2 linked regions of the Drosophila melanogaster genome follow. The protein of the gene in region 1 interacts with the protein of each later gene in a pairwise test. Each region holds a gene or a part of one and is shown on either strand. Other genes may lie near its edges.

The links.
Region 2: the proteins of bab2 (region 1) and CG17141 interact in a two-hybrid assay, tested with the Drosophila melanogaster proteins (one large-scale study listed by BioGRID).

What each region holds. Positions count from the first base shown.
Region 1 is NT_037436.4:1,172,669-1,180,765, reverse strand, and holds the start of bab2 (bric a brac 2), read left to right. Parts: upstream 1-3,489; 5' UTR 3,490-3,785; intron 3,786-6,158; 5' UTR 6,159-6,268; coding exon 6,269-8,008; intron 8,009-8,097. UniProt on the Drosophila melanogaster protein: Probably acts as a transcriptional regulator. Required for the specification of the tarsal segment. Also involved in antenna development.
Region 2 is NT_033777.3:22,742,803-22,749,531, forward strand, and holds CG17141 (uncharacterized protein), read right to left. Parts: upstream 4,798-6,729; 5' UTR 4,725-4,797; coding exon 4,526-4,724; intron 4,471-4,525; coding exon 3,698-4,470; 3' UTR 3,644-3,697; downstream 1-3,643. Other genes in the region: CG6985 (uncharacterized protein), read left to right, coding at 12-65, 124-195; vret (vreteno), read right to left, coding at 347-504, 559-752, 809-993, 1,056-1,872, 1,938-2,348, 2,412-2,722; HP1c (heterochromatin protein 1c), read left to right, coding at 2,915-3,628; CG31139 (uncharacterized protein), read right to left, coding at 4,941-6,022, 6,078-6,189; rumi, read right to left, coding at 6,437-6,729.

The sequences.
Region 1 (8,097 bases):
GCAGAATTGCAGCACTAACTAAGCAATTTGTTACCATATTCTACTTTAATTTGCTGTTAAGCCTCATTTTCGGTATATAACTTGTGTAGTTTTCCTAGTGTAAAGTGGTTTTATAAATTTTCCTTCGAGTGATTTTTTGCACACAGTATATTCATTCAATTTCAAACATTCTTGATGTTCTTTCTTATTTTTGCTTTCAGTCCCGATTCTTCAAGGCTTCTATTCCCCAGTATGAATTTCATCCTGTTTTCGTCTTGTTTTAAGTGACAGCTTGAAGCTTGAAGAGCCTTGGAGGAGCGTTCAAGAGCAGCTTGGAAAAACTGGCAAAGAATAAGGGGGTTTTGTCCACTTTAATGGATGGCCGCAGAAAGGCGCAAGGCTTTCCAGCCATTTTCCGGCGTCTCCCACATCCTTTTTCAGCTCCTTCTCACACGTTCTGGATCCTGCCGCTCCTGTTGACAGTGGACTACGGTAGGAGCCTCTTTACTTATATTTTCATTTGAAATCAATGCCCTCTTTCAGAGGGTCTATCGATCAATCATGGATGCTTTTGTTAAAATGATTTATGAAACACTTTTATCCCAGAAGATTTGAAGGAGTTGATAGACTCGTCTTCAATGTTGTATGCCATGTAAGGGATATCGATTAGCCATTTTGTTAAGGGTATTTGTGCAGCATCGACAATCTAATTTCGAACTCCGGCCTTCAGTGGCTTTGGCCATTTCCTGTCGCCATTTCTTTGGCAATCGCTTTCTCTTTTGACTGCAAGTGTGTGACGGTATTTTTTTTAAGCACTGGCTGCTGGTTGGCTGCAGATTTGAACTCTTTCGCTTTGCCAGCGGATGTCCTTTAAAGGTCCTTTAGCGTGGTTTCCACACCGTTGCCCCGGCCACTGCCCACACACTTTCTTCACGCTACTCCGATAATTTCACTTTGAATTTCCTCATCGCAGCCTTTCTGGAGAACGGAAGCGCGCTAGTTTCCTTTCCCAGCGGACCGGTTAGTTTTCCGCGTTCTTTTTCCAACAACTGTTGGCTAAGTCTTCGGACTTGTCAAAGCGGAAAGGGCCTTCATTTCCGCCTCGAAAGAGCCGCCGCGTTTCCCTTTTTCCAATTCGCTAGCTGACCAAAAAAATAGTAAAAAAATCGAGAAAGGAGAAATAGGTAGGCAAAGGTGTATGCTAAGCTAAGTTTTTAAAAATACTCCTCTGAAATTGTTTATTATTTAAGACACGATCGCGAATTATGCTTGCTTCTTTTAGTTCGACTTCTCAAACACAGAAATTTGTCGAGATTTTTTATTGAGAAACTTCGAAAATTTTAAATTTTTATTTTTATCCATCATCGAATCGTATTCTAAAACAAATTCTATCTAATTTTTATCAACAATAAAATGAAGTTTTTATTGATCAACACACTGCTACCTACGCAGGTACTAAATTTGATCTGCATAAATTATTTAAGTTTTTATTGCGGCCTTGAGACTCAAAAAATTAGATCGATATTAATAGTTTAAACATATTTGAAAAATCTTTTCATGTTACACATGTAGAAAACTACTACACATAATATGCAATCCTATAAATAAGACTCCTTAGTAATACATTCTTCCTTTTCTCCTTTCTACATAAGCATTGAAACATTCTGGTGACAGGTGACAGTATTAATCAGAGAAAAAGGCGTAGGATTTTCGAGAAAAGGATTCCCCCCTAAGATGTCAAGGCCCCGAGAAAAAAAGGGGAACCCTCAAAGAGTGGGGAGAATCCAAGCACCTTGCCGCCGATTCGCCAAACGAAGGCCGCAAAAAATAATTTGCGAATTGCCACGCGTTTTTTAGCCCATGTGTGCACCCCCGATTTATATATGCAGATATCTATATATAAAAGTATTTGGCCCCCACAGACGCACACACGTATATATTTATATATATATATATAGATATATTTCGAGTGGTCGGGCCAATCGGCGTCGAGCACGAAGTTCGCAGAGGCTCGTGGAGGCGCCCGAATGCCAAAAAGGTCAAAAAGAGAGAGGGCAAATGGAATAAAATATGCAAAATATACAAAATAGCACACACAAATACAGCGCACACGGGCACACGCACACACAGGCAAACGCAAAACAAAGGGGGATTTATTTTAGTTGTTGTTATTGGCTGCGCAAAAAACAATAACAACGGCCTATAGATGCTGCAATAGCAGCAACAACAACTCCTATTAAAAATGCGTTTCCATAGGCGCCGCCTACCGCGTGACGTCACTAGCTGCACTTGCTGCGTCTTTGCCTCCTTTTCTTTCAGCTTTTCCTCGTACTCTTTTCTTTTTTGCTCTTTTCGGTTGCCACCTCCAAGTTTTCGTTTTCGCGGGGCAGCATGGGGAAGAGGAAGCAGAGAAGAGAGTGCAGCCGAAGCTTTTCGTTTGTTTTCGCTCGTCTTTCAGCCGTTTTTTTGTTGTTGCTCTGCTCCCCTTCTTCATGCTGGCTTGTGTGTGCGTGTGTAGGAGCAAGCAGCTTGCTGTCCCACTCGCACTCGCGCCCTCTTACGGCACTTTTAGGGGCGTGGCCAAGTTGTGAGTGTGTTGCTGTCGCCACTTTTTCTCTGCTCTTTTTTGCCATAGTTTCTGTGCCTAAGCAGCAAAAGCAACAACAAGGAGGTTAAGGATGATGCAGAAGAAGAAGAAAGAGGGTTGGCAACTATTTTGAAACACTTTCTTACTGGACATTGGCCAGTTTCTCTTTCTTGCCCCTGCTGTTGCTGTTGTTGTTGCTGCTGCAGCTAGGTTGCAAGTTGCTGTTGCTATTCTCTTCAAGTTGCAGGTGTAGGCTGCAATTTTTTCGCGACCTTAGCATGCTGCTTTGGCGATTTGTTAAGATTTTTGCGATTTATTGGTAAGCATGGCATTTATATAAATAAGAGAACTTATTTCAATAAGTATTCAAACTAATTATAATAAATATGATTCGTTTTTAATTGTAAATGAAGTATGTTGATATAGTAAAAACTACTTTCGCAAATTTATGTGACAACGAAAAAAAAAAGAAACGTTGGGTCTTAGACAATTATATAAAAATCGTAGTGAAATGTATGTTTTTTATGATGAGAAATATGATTCGAATAAAAAACTATTAATCTGTACTAAAATGTATAAAAAAATAACAAAACAATTGCATTCCAGATTAATAAAATATGTTCTCCTCTTATACAATCACGATTTCATTTTAATTATAATTTCTAACATTTCTAAAAATTTCGAAATTTTCAATTTTTTTTCAAGCAAGATCTCTGAAAATTCAAAACAAAGAAAGCAAAGAGCACACTTACTTTCGCTCTTAAACCGCCGCTCTGTCGATTTCCCAATTCGCCGCAAAAACCGGAAAACACCACGCCGGCGCTCTCATTCGCCGCGAGAGAGCGGGCAGCGCAGCTGACGTCGGCAGCGCGGCGTCGAGTTTCATTCAATTTTTTGAAATTCAGTTCGTTTATCTGTGAGATTCAGTTCGTATCTGACTTTCGGCGTGAGTGGAGTGCAGCGTTTGTTTTTACGGCCACTGAAAGCCAGCAACAACAACAATAATACCCACAACAACAACAACAACGACAGAAGCGGCAGCAAAGACAGCAAAGCAAAAGCAACAACAAGTGACGTGCAACAACGACAAGCAGAACAGCATGTGTTGCATGCAGTGAACAAAACAAACAGAACATAAACACAAGTATTCTGTTAATATTTAATAAAACAAGAAAGTGAACTAAAAGTGAACCCATCGAGTGAATACCAGACGAAAAATGTATGTGTGCGTTGATTATTATATTAATTATGGTGCTTTATTTATGACAAATGACTGGGCTGCAATGAAAATCGATTTTATACCTCGACCATGTACTATTCTACATAAGTTATCCAGTGGAAATGCCATCCCCGCCAGACCCCCTCGCACATTTTCCGCGCATTTTCCTTGGCGCTACCAAAGAAATTGTAATTTATTAATTTATAACACAAGCCACCCAGCGAAAAGGTCGTAAAAAGCAATGTTGCTTGGTCGTTTTTGGGCGCCCAGGAAAATTAAGAAGAAAACCCACTCGAAGGAGCAACTTTTCCTACAGCTCCTGCCTTTCCACAGCTCCCGCTTTTCCGAGTGGGTGGCACGCGCCAAAAACAGTTTGTAAACATTTTGCACACAGCGAAAGCCGAGCGAAACACGAGAAAATCCAGACTGTAATTTATTACTTGCTGCATAAATAATAAATAAGCGTTAATAAATAAATACAATATGCAATATATAAATGTGTCCGAGCGCCCGCACACCGCCCCCCCGTTTCTCAACGTGTATTTGTGTTCGTTTTTGTGTGCGGGCGGGCCCACTTTAAGGATACAAAACCTCGAGACTGAATTAAATAAATAAATACAGAAATAATAAATAAATAAAGTGCCCAGCTTGCCTGCTGTTTTATTTTTTTGGCTGCCAACAGCTGCGCTTGCTATAAATAATTAAACGAAAATAATATATTACGAGGAAGCAGGAAAGAAGAGTGTGGAAAGGCAAGAAATCAGGGAGTTTGAAGTATTTAGGATTTCGAGTCAGATACTTGTCAGCAGTTATAATTGTATATGAAGGAAAAAATTAGTTTTTTGCTTCCACATTCACGAAAAACTGAAACTCATTCTAAAACATAATTTTGAATTTATTTAAGGCCAGGCTTTGGTAATAAATAAATGAAAATCTTGAATAATCATAAAATCAGCTTTGATGTGTCGACTTTGGAGATGTGCGAATCTTCTGCATTTGGCAATTTACTTATTTATTTATTTGAGGCCGAGTTTTTCCCAAGAATCATCAAATTTAATGCGAGCAGCCACGATAAAAGCAACAAACATGAATAAATAAGGGGAATAACAAAAGGCGGAGCGCGGCCATAACAATAAACCAAAAGTTGCCAAGAGCAGCAGGAGTAGGAAGAGGAGTAGGACCGATTTTCCTCCGCAGCCCACAGTTCGGGAAACTCTGAGGATTCGGGGTAGCTCATCAGCTCCTCAATTCTCCAGCTGTTCAGCTCTTCAGCTCCCTCGACGATGAGTCCATGGATTCGTATCCGGATCCAGAACAACAATAAAATAAACAAAAATAATAACTGTGGACGGCGCCGAGGAGCTGCGGCCGCAAGATTTAATTGGAATGAAATAATAATAAACATAAAAAGTAGCAAGAAGAAGTATTATAATAACAATAATAATAAATATAATTAAATTTCATGGCGGCAGCAACTTTCCACCCCGACAAAAACGACCCAAGCGAACCGAGCCCAAGTGTGCTGCACAAACACACATAAATTAAAATTATACAAAATATTTAAATAAATATAATTACTTTGGGCCCACTCTCTCCGAGCTCTGCCATAAATAATAATATTTAATTAAATATAAATCTATAGACGGGCGCTGTGCGCATGCAAGTGTATCCAGAGACAACAATACAAAATAAGCAATAATCGCGCGCACACACTTACAAAGCCGCTATATACGCATCCATATATAAATATATATGTATATGCATATATACAATATATATATGTATGTATATAGATATGTGCGTATAAATACAACAATGAGCGGCGGAGACTACGAATAATTGCAGCTCAGTAATATAAATTAAGCCAAATTAAACATAAATAAATGTGTGCTTAGCTTTTAGCTAATAAAGCACATTTCTGGCCTGGGCGTTACAGTGGGTGGGGTTGGGTGGTGGGTGGTGGGTGGCGATTGTTCGGCTGGTGGCTGGCAAATACTAAACATAAATTAATAGAAATTCATGGAAATTTCGACTGGCAGGGAGATGGGGCAAGATTAATAGGCTTATTTAATAGAGTTATGACTAAGAGCACAAATGTGCCCGCTGATTCAGCTTGATGTGAATAAAACACTTGCCACGTTCGTTATCGTTATAGATCCCAAAATATATTCGATTGGCAGGGGGAATAATGTGGCAGACAAGATAAAGCCATATTATAGCCAGCATTCTCTTTGATTGGCAGTTAAATATCTTATTCCGAGTTAATTGAAACAAATTAAATGTATACAAGACTTTCATACTAGCTGTCCATATATTGTATGTTACATATGTCAATCCCGTTCGCACAATCATGTGAGTTTTCCTCTCTTTCAGCTTTGAACTGCTCCCAGGAAAAGTTCTCGTTTCGCCCCCGAAAATGTGTTAGAAATCCCGCAGAAAACCTGCAAGACAACCGATAAGAAGGAAAACTCTATAACAGCACCATGGACATGACCAAACAGATTGTGGACTTTGAAATAAAGTCGGAACTGATCGGCGAAATCGATCAGTTCGAGGCGAGTGACTACACAATGGCTCCACCGGAAGAGCCTAAGATGGTGGAAGAGTCCCCCCAGTTGGGTCATCTAGAGGACCAGAACAGAAAGTACTCACCCGAAAGGGAGGTTGAACCCACTCTGCAGGATCCAAGTGAGGTGGTTGATCAAATGCAAAAAGATACGGAGAGCGTTGGAGAAGTCAAGTCACCCGAGAAGGATGTGGAAACGGAGCTGGTGAAGTCCAAGGCGAGTCCGATGAACGACCAAGCTTTGACTCCCCCACCACGACCTCTGACCTCCAGTGAAGTGGTGGGTCTCCGGGATCCCGAACATACCGAGCTGCGCATGTGCCTGGAGGCCAAGAAGTCGCGCTCCCTACCAGTTTCCCCACAGCCTCAACCAAATCTTAAGCTAGCCGGATCGGCGCTCTTTGAATTCGGTCAGAGATCCTCTCCCGTGGAGACCAAGATCAAAACCAATCCAGAGACAAAACCGCCGAGGCGCAAAATAGTTCCTCCCAGCGGCGAGGGGCAGCAGTTCTGCCTGAGGTGGAACAACTATCAGTCTAACCTGACCAATGTCTTTGACGAACTCCTTCAGAGCGAGTCCTTCGTGGACGTGACCTTGTCCTGCGAAGGCCACTCGATCAAGGCACACAAGATGGTGCTATCCGCCTGCTCACCCTACTTCCAGGCCCTGTTCTACGACAATCCCTGCCAGCACCCCATCATCATCATGCGGGACGTCAGCTGGTCCGACCTGAAGGCCCTGGTGGAGTTCATGTACAAGGGGGAGATCAACGTCTGCCAGGATCAGATAAACCCCCTGCTCAAAGTGGCCGAAACCCTGAAGATCAGGGGTCTGGCGGAGGTCAGTGCGGGCAGGGGCGAGGGAGGCGCCTCCGCACTTCCCATGTCCGCCTTCGACGATGAGGACGAGGAGGAGGAACTGGCCTCGGCCACTGCAATTCTGCAGCAGGACGGTGATGCCGATCCCGATGAGGAGATGAAGGCCAAGAGGCCCAGACTGCTGCCCGAGGGAGTCTTGGACTTGAATCAGCGACAAAGGAAGCGGTCCAGGGATGGCAGCTACGCCACTCCAAGTCCATCCCTTCAGGGCGGAGAGTCCGAGATCTCGGAGAGGGGCTCATCCGGCACTCCGGGACAGAGCCAGAGCCAACCCCTGGCCATGACCACCTCCACCATTGTGCGCAATCCCTTCGCCTCCCCCAATCCTCAGACCTTGGAGGGCAGGAACAGCGCCATGAATGCAGTAGCAAACCAGAGGAAATCACCAGCACCAACAGCGACAGGTCACAGCAATGGGAACAGCGGCGCCGCCATGCACTCCCCACCCGGGGGCGTGGCCGTCCAGTCCGCCCTTCCGCCCCACATGGCCGCCATCGTGCCGCCACCCCCCTCCGCCATGCACCATCATGCCCAGCAACTGGCCGCCCAGCACCAGCTGGCCCACTCGCACGCCATGGCCAGCGCCTTGGCAGCCGCAGCCGCCGGAGCTGGCGCAGCGGGAGCGGGCGGAGCAGGATCTGGCAGTGGATCGGGCGCCAGTGCTCCGACTGGAGGAACAGGAGTGGCGGGAAGTGGAGCCGGCGCGGCGGTGGGATCCCATCACGATGACATGGAGATCAAGCCAGAAATCGCCGAGATGATACGCGAAGAAGAGAGGGTGAGTCAATAACTAAATTTCAAACCATATGTTTTTATCCCAAGAAAATATTAGTTTTAATCTAGAACACCGAGTAATTGTATATACAA
Region 2 (6,729 bases), on another chromosome or scaffold:
ATAACCTATAGAATCTAGCGGACTGGACCAAAAGTGAGCCACCTTTTGACCGTGTTTTCTTTGAGGTGAGATTTGTATTACATTTTACTAACTTAAATTGCGTAAATCAATGTGACCTTACAGGAAACTGCTATATCGGATAGTCTGGATTGTATTCAACTGGTTTATTCAAGAAAAGTGAGAGTAAAAACTTAAACAAACAAAACGTTAACTTCAAGAATATAAATGTAAACAAAATTATTTTGTTGAACTAAATGCTTAGCAGTTGAGTTAACCTGGAAGATTTGTGCTTTTTTTTGGCCATAATTAGTTCTGAACTATTTCGCGGAATCAACCTTTTGAGAACTTAGTCCAAACTTAAGAACTCCTGCAGTTTTTCAATGCGAGTGGAGTAGCTATTTGTTTCCTCGTCGAAAGTGATTTCGCTGCAGGTGATAACGGACCCAATGGGATAATTTTTATCCAGCCATTTGATCTGCTCATCGGTGGGCTTCTCAGGCACTCCTACGAAAATCGAGTCATATAAATAATATAATTATCTTTGGAGAGCCTAATTACCAATTAAATCCAACTGTGTGGTCATTATAGGGAAGATAAACTGCGGCGGATAGGGACGTATGTCGGTGACATGTGTTGGCACTATGTTTCCGTAGTCAATGAACAAAATGCTGGGATAACCATCTCCTACTAACTCCACAGAGAGACCTCGACGCCATTTGCCTTCGTACTTAGCTATGCAAAGCTCATTTATCCTAAATGAAAGAGCGCTTTAGTTAAATGGACAAAAGAAAACGGCGAGTAACTTTACGGCGGTGCGTAGGTTGCGCACTTGGCAATCTTTTCACCATACTCCTGTATGTCTCGCTGCATTTTGGTGACTTCGTAAGCCAGATCTATGGAGGTGCAGTAGATAAAGCCGCACTGGATGAATGTGTTGTCCATTACCACTACATTTATGTTCTTTCCGCAGTGCAAGGGAATGTATGGAAGACACTGAAACCGAATAAATGCAAATGACAACTGTGTACTTGATGTTTTTTTAAGTTCTGGCTTACGTCCTCTTTGTATCCCAAGTCCGAGACAGACGGCTCAACAGGAGTTAGGATGGTCTTGAAAAGGCGGTTGAGGCTCCTATTAATATCGATCTCGGTCATCACCACGACCTGCATGCCCTTGCTGGTATCGTACTCACGTGACGAGTACTTGATATTAAAAACTAGGGACTGGTCGAGTTCGTACATGACTTCCCTTATGTTGGGACCCACAAAGCGCCTGGGAACTCCGCGTAATTTAACGGCTACGGGATAGCAGGTCAAACCAGCTAAATACGAACTGCATTCATACAGTCTTTCCAGCTGCGTGACTTCAACACTTCCGAAATCAATGAACACTACATAGATTTCCTTGATATTATCCACGTTTAGCACCATGGCGCGCGACATATGTCCCTCGAACTTGTAGAGCACAATTTGTCCGCAGACTGGCGTACTCTGCAGTTTGGAGGCATCTTTGCCCAGCATCATTACCTCCGTGAGAACTGTATAATAGGCGATGTCAATCTGAATGTCCGCCGAGCGCACATAGACCACGTTAGTCTGCTCGAATGCAGTAATTCTCACTTTAGATCCAGACGGCGGCAAGCCGGGTTTGGGGTACTTCCGGCCCACCTTTTCGTCAAGGTTAAGTATCTCACCCTTGCCGCAAGCTTGCTTATGCTGCTCTGCCACATCGGCGAAACAGGAGGCATTGCAGAAGGGCATTTTGCACAGCTTGCAGAAAGTGTCTGTCCAGTTTTGACAAACCACGCACTTGCTGACGCCGTCTTCCAGCAGGCTTTTAGTTTTATCCTCTTCGGTGACAGCAACCGTTGACCTGAGTGATGCAGAAACTATACTCGTTAGCTAATCAAGGGCACGTGACCAGGTGGCTATACTAACAAAGGAATCGTTCTGCCCGAACGAAAGTGCAGAACGACCTGCGGGATTCTGGTCTCATCCTTAAGCTTGTAGATATCATGGCGCTCCAGTGCGAATTCGTACTTTACATTGAGATAGCGTTGAATGGGGTCGTTGGTGGCCAACAATGAACCTCTTTTGTAATCATCTTTGGTGACCAGCGGTGGCCGGAAGAACTCCGGATGATTTTGTCCTCCGGTCGAGATCGGAACCTCTCTGTTGTGATTCACTGGCGTACGTTCAGTGGCCGAAATTGCTGGGCCTGGTGTTGGCATTGGCTCAGTGGAAGTCACCGGATCGCTGGTGATTTCCCGCTCCTTTTGCGGGCGACCAGTGATGCACTTGATCAGGTTCGGGTAACGCTGCACCCGCTGTTGCGCTGTCTCCAGGGATCTGGAAAAAGGATTATACGCTCGAAATATTGAATGACCTGCGAAAGTGCTTGAAGAAACTCACGCGATATTTTCAAAGTAGACAAAGTATACGCGTGACAAGCGGCGGAACTCCATCTCCTTGATGAGCGCCCGACCGAAGAAGTTGATTAGCATCTTTTCGGTCACATAGGGACTGCTTTTTGGAACCACCAAGTATGGATACTTCGCCTGCCTGGTGGCACGTTGCTCCTTTTCGTCCTTTGGCGGCAGCGGGGCTTCCATGATTAGTTTCTGGCCAGACTCGTTAGTGTAACGGTTGCCCACTTGGTCATAGTATTCCCTGGACATTGGATCGAATGCGGACCAATCATCCTGCGAGGATTCGGATTCCATTGCACCTGAGCTTTAAAATTTCACCTGAATTCGAATTGCAAGCGCGTGCGAGTGTGACCGTTTTCTATGCTGTCAGAAGTATGTTGCTATTGTAACTGTTGTTGAAGTCAGCAAACGGTCACACTGGCACTAGTGAAAAAAACCAAGCCGATTTTAAATATTGTAAACAATCTTGTAAAAACACAATAAAAAATGGTTAAAAACGAGCCCAACTTCGTGGTGGAGCGCATCATGGACAAGCGCATTACCAGCGAAGGCAAGGTTGAGTACTACATCAAGTGGCGTGGCTACACGTCGGCGGACAACACCTGGGAGCCCGAGGAGAACTGCGATTGCCCGAATCTCATCCAGAAATTCGAGGAGTCGCGCGCCAAGTCCAAGAAGCGCGGCGAGAAGAAACCCAAGTGCGAAGAGATCCAGAAGCTGCGCGGCTACGAGCGCGGCTTGGAGCTGGCCGAGATCGTGGGCGCAACGGATGTGACGGGCGACATCAAGTATCTGGTGCGCTGGCAGTTCTGCGACGAGTTCGACTTGGTGCCATCGGCACAGATCGTGGAGAAGGATCCGCAAATGCTGATTGACTATTTCCAGAAGATGGCACCTTACTCCCGTCACATTGCGATGCGAATGAAGGGCGTGCCGGAGGAGCTGCGTTTGGCGGCCTCGCGCACCAGTTATCCGCACATTAGCAGTGCGCCCGTCGAAGTGCCGCCGGAGGTGGATCAGTCCGCTGAGTTGGCTGGACATCTTGGTGGAATCGCGCCACAGGTGGACCAGGCGCCGCAGCACCATGCACCCATGGATCTAGCCAATGATACCGACGATTTGGCTAGTGTTTCGTACTCGATTCCCGTGCCCGGCGTTGGCGACATTGCCATCGATGTGCCCATGGCGGAAAATCAATAAGGACGCGAGCAGAATCGACTGTTCAGTCTTTAATCTAAGCCCCTAAGTTTAATTCATACATATGTATAGCTATCTGAAACCACTGGGTTCGTCCAGATTCATGTGACCCAACTGGCCGGAGCGAAAGAAGTGAATGAACTTTCGCGCGGCCGCCAATAAATTTGTCATCACCTCCACGCGTCCGTCGTACTGCTTGACCTTGTGGAATAGCTCCTCCCGATGAGCGTACTCCGCCAGCACGGCGCTGATGTCGTCACTGGGTCCGGAGCTGAGCTTTAGCATCTCCACGTAGTCGTATTTGCGGTGGCTATTCAGCCAGTACAGCAGATAGTCGGCTATCAGATCCTCGCCCACAATATGATCGGGAAGGCAGCCCACCAGGGCCAGTTTCATGCCCATTTCATCATCCTTAATGGAGGGCTGGAGGATGCCGGGTGTGTCGATCATGTAAACAGGCGGATTCTCTTGGATTTTGATGCGTTCGCCGACGGATCGAGTTATACCCGCCTCGGCACCCACGCGTGCGGCGCTCTTCTTCTTGAGATGCACATTTCGCAGCACATTGATCACGGAACTCTTGCCCACATTGGGCACGCCGATGATCATCAGATTGTGCTCGGCAGCTTGGGTGCGATTGAAGCGACTGCTCTCGCTCACGAGGCGCGTTGCCAGGGGCAGGATGTCCAGCACGCCGTTGTTGCGCTGATCCTTGCAGTTGGTGAACAGGATGTGCTGCAGTTCGGGCTGCTGTCTCCTCAGCTGCTGGAGCACGCTCTTCTGCTGTTTGGCGCCCAGCAGATCGACTTTGTTCAGCACCAGAATATGCGGTTTAACACCACTTCCTGGGGAATATGAGTCCCGTATTAAGTGGCAGCTTATGGTTGTAAACGTACTCACCGGTGATTGTGTCAAAGAACTGGGAGTTTCTGCCCGCCAATGGGATGCGTGCATCGTGAATCTCGACTATGCAGTCTACATTTCGTAGTTTTTGCTGAATTTGCCGCATACCCTTGGTCATGTGGCCGGGAAACCAGTTGATGCGCTGCTTGGACGGCAGCCGGAAGGCATTGCGGAATGGATTCAGCTGCGCTGCCATGATGCGGAATCCATGTAATGCTAGCGAATCCAAATCAAAACTTTCAAACAGCTGTTGGCCAGTGACGTAACAATTGACCCAGGATTGTGTGTGGTCACACTAGTGGGGGGAGTTGGCTGTTGGGTGTGGCAGCACTGGCTGATTTAAATTTGAATTTAAAATTAATTATACAGATTTTTATTTTTTGGTACAAAACTAAGATTGTAAATACTAAGTTTATTTTCCGCGGTACAGCTGCACCGCTTTCTTGTTGGATACCTCCAGAAGTCCCGGCTCCCGTTGCACTTTATAAGTGAGCAACTTTGCGTATTCCTGGAGCATCTTACTCCAATAGCACTGCACATCCTCCATTCGGAGGTGGAGCCAAATGAACTGCTGTCCCCGTTCCGCAATCTCCTCCGCCAGATCGTCGTGCTCGCGCAGATATAGAATCAACTCCGCCAGCTCATCCACATCGGCGTCGCTGGCCACGGGAACGTAATGCACCCAGGGTTTCAGTTGGCTGTAGAAGAACTCCTGCCACTGGTCGCCAACATGAAGTACCAGCGAGCGGCAGAGCAGTATGTGCCGCAGCCGGAAACTGGCGGCCACACCGCGAAAATTGAACAGATACTTAAATTGGCAGTGCTCGACCAAAGGCATCTTCTCGACGGGATCGGCATCCGTCGCTAGTATCGTGTACTGGGCATCAACCAGGTCTGGACGCCTTTGCGAGAGCCTGACTAGACTATCGCGTTCTGGCGAGGATCGTGAGCCCCTAAAGAAACCAATAGCGCGCTTGGCACTCCACGGCAACTCCGACGCCCTGGCCACCAAATGTTTTCGCATCCAGTCCCAGCGACCCACACCGTGGGGATAGTGCTGCAGGATGGGTCCCGTGGTGGTCCAAAACGACCATGCTGGGTACATGATGTCCAGGTGGCGATTCGTGATGGAATAGGAAAACACCGGACCACTTAGGCCGGATAGGAAGTGCACCTGCGGCCAGTCGCGCACATTGAGAACGAATTCCAGGTCTGCCACACCACTGGCCATGTCCAAGAGCAGATCCTCCACATCGGCACATCGCTTGGGATGCAGGCACTTCTGCTGGCGATAGATGCGTCCACGGATTATCTGGTAAAAAGTGCCCAATCGTTTGGATTGCGCCATCATCTCAGGTGTAATCCCCTTGTCCACATACGGTTCCAAATCCCTTTGAATGGTCGCCACATGGCAGAGGCATTTCGGATCACCGATTACGCAGGGTCGATGGATCGCCAGGGCGTGCAGGATGTGCGGCACAAAGTCGTAGCTGGCTGAAGGATACAAATCTTGAAAAGGTTATATTATATTATATTCTATATAGTTAACTATTTGAGTTTGGGTTGTGTTCGTTGACAGCGCATTTGTCCTTGGAGCACGAAACGCAAGTGCAGGAGAGGATTAGGGCTCCAACTAAAAAGCATATCCTTGGCTGGGTCATAATTAAAATTTAAAGAGAATTTACATATTTCTTCCAAATATATTTTAAACTTTGAGTCTTAAAACAAATGGCTTTCGATTGTTATAAAGATTGTATAAATGCTATATATATAAATAGGAAAATATTCGAGTTGTTCTCTAAATCTTGGACATCAAAAATGCATGGAATGCGGACAGAGAGATTCACGCTGCTCTAAGCAACTTAATACAAAATGAGAAATGCTTAAACACAATAACATTTCATTTCGCTACAGCTCATCCTTTTTAGGCCCTATGTAAATAAGTTGATCCTCCGGCTTAACCTCGTATTGCAGCAGCTTCACATATCGCTTGAGCAGCTTGCGCCAATAGCACTTGATGTCCTTCATGCGCAAATGCTCCCAGATGAAGTCGTATCCACGCTGAGCGATCTCCTGGGCCAGCGCATCGTTTTTCTTGAAAAAGGACAAGATGTGCTCGTACTCCTGCTGACTGGGGTAGCTCTTGAGCGGCACATAGTGCACCCAGGGCTTTAGTTGGTCGTAGAAGAACTCCTGCCACT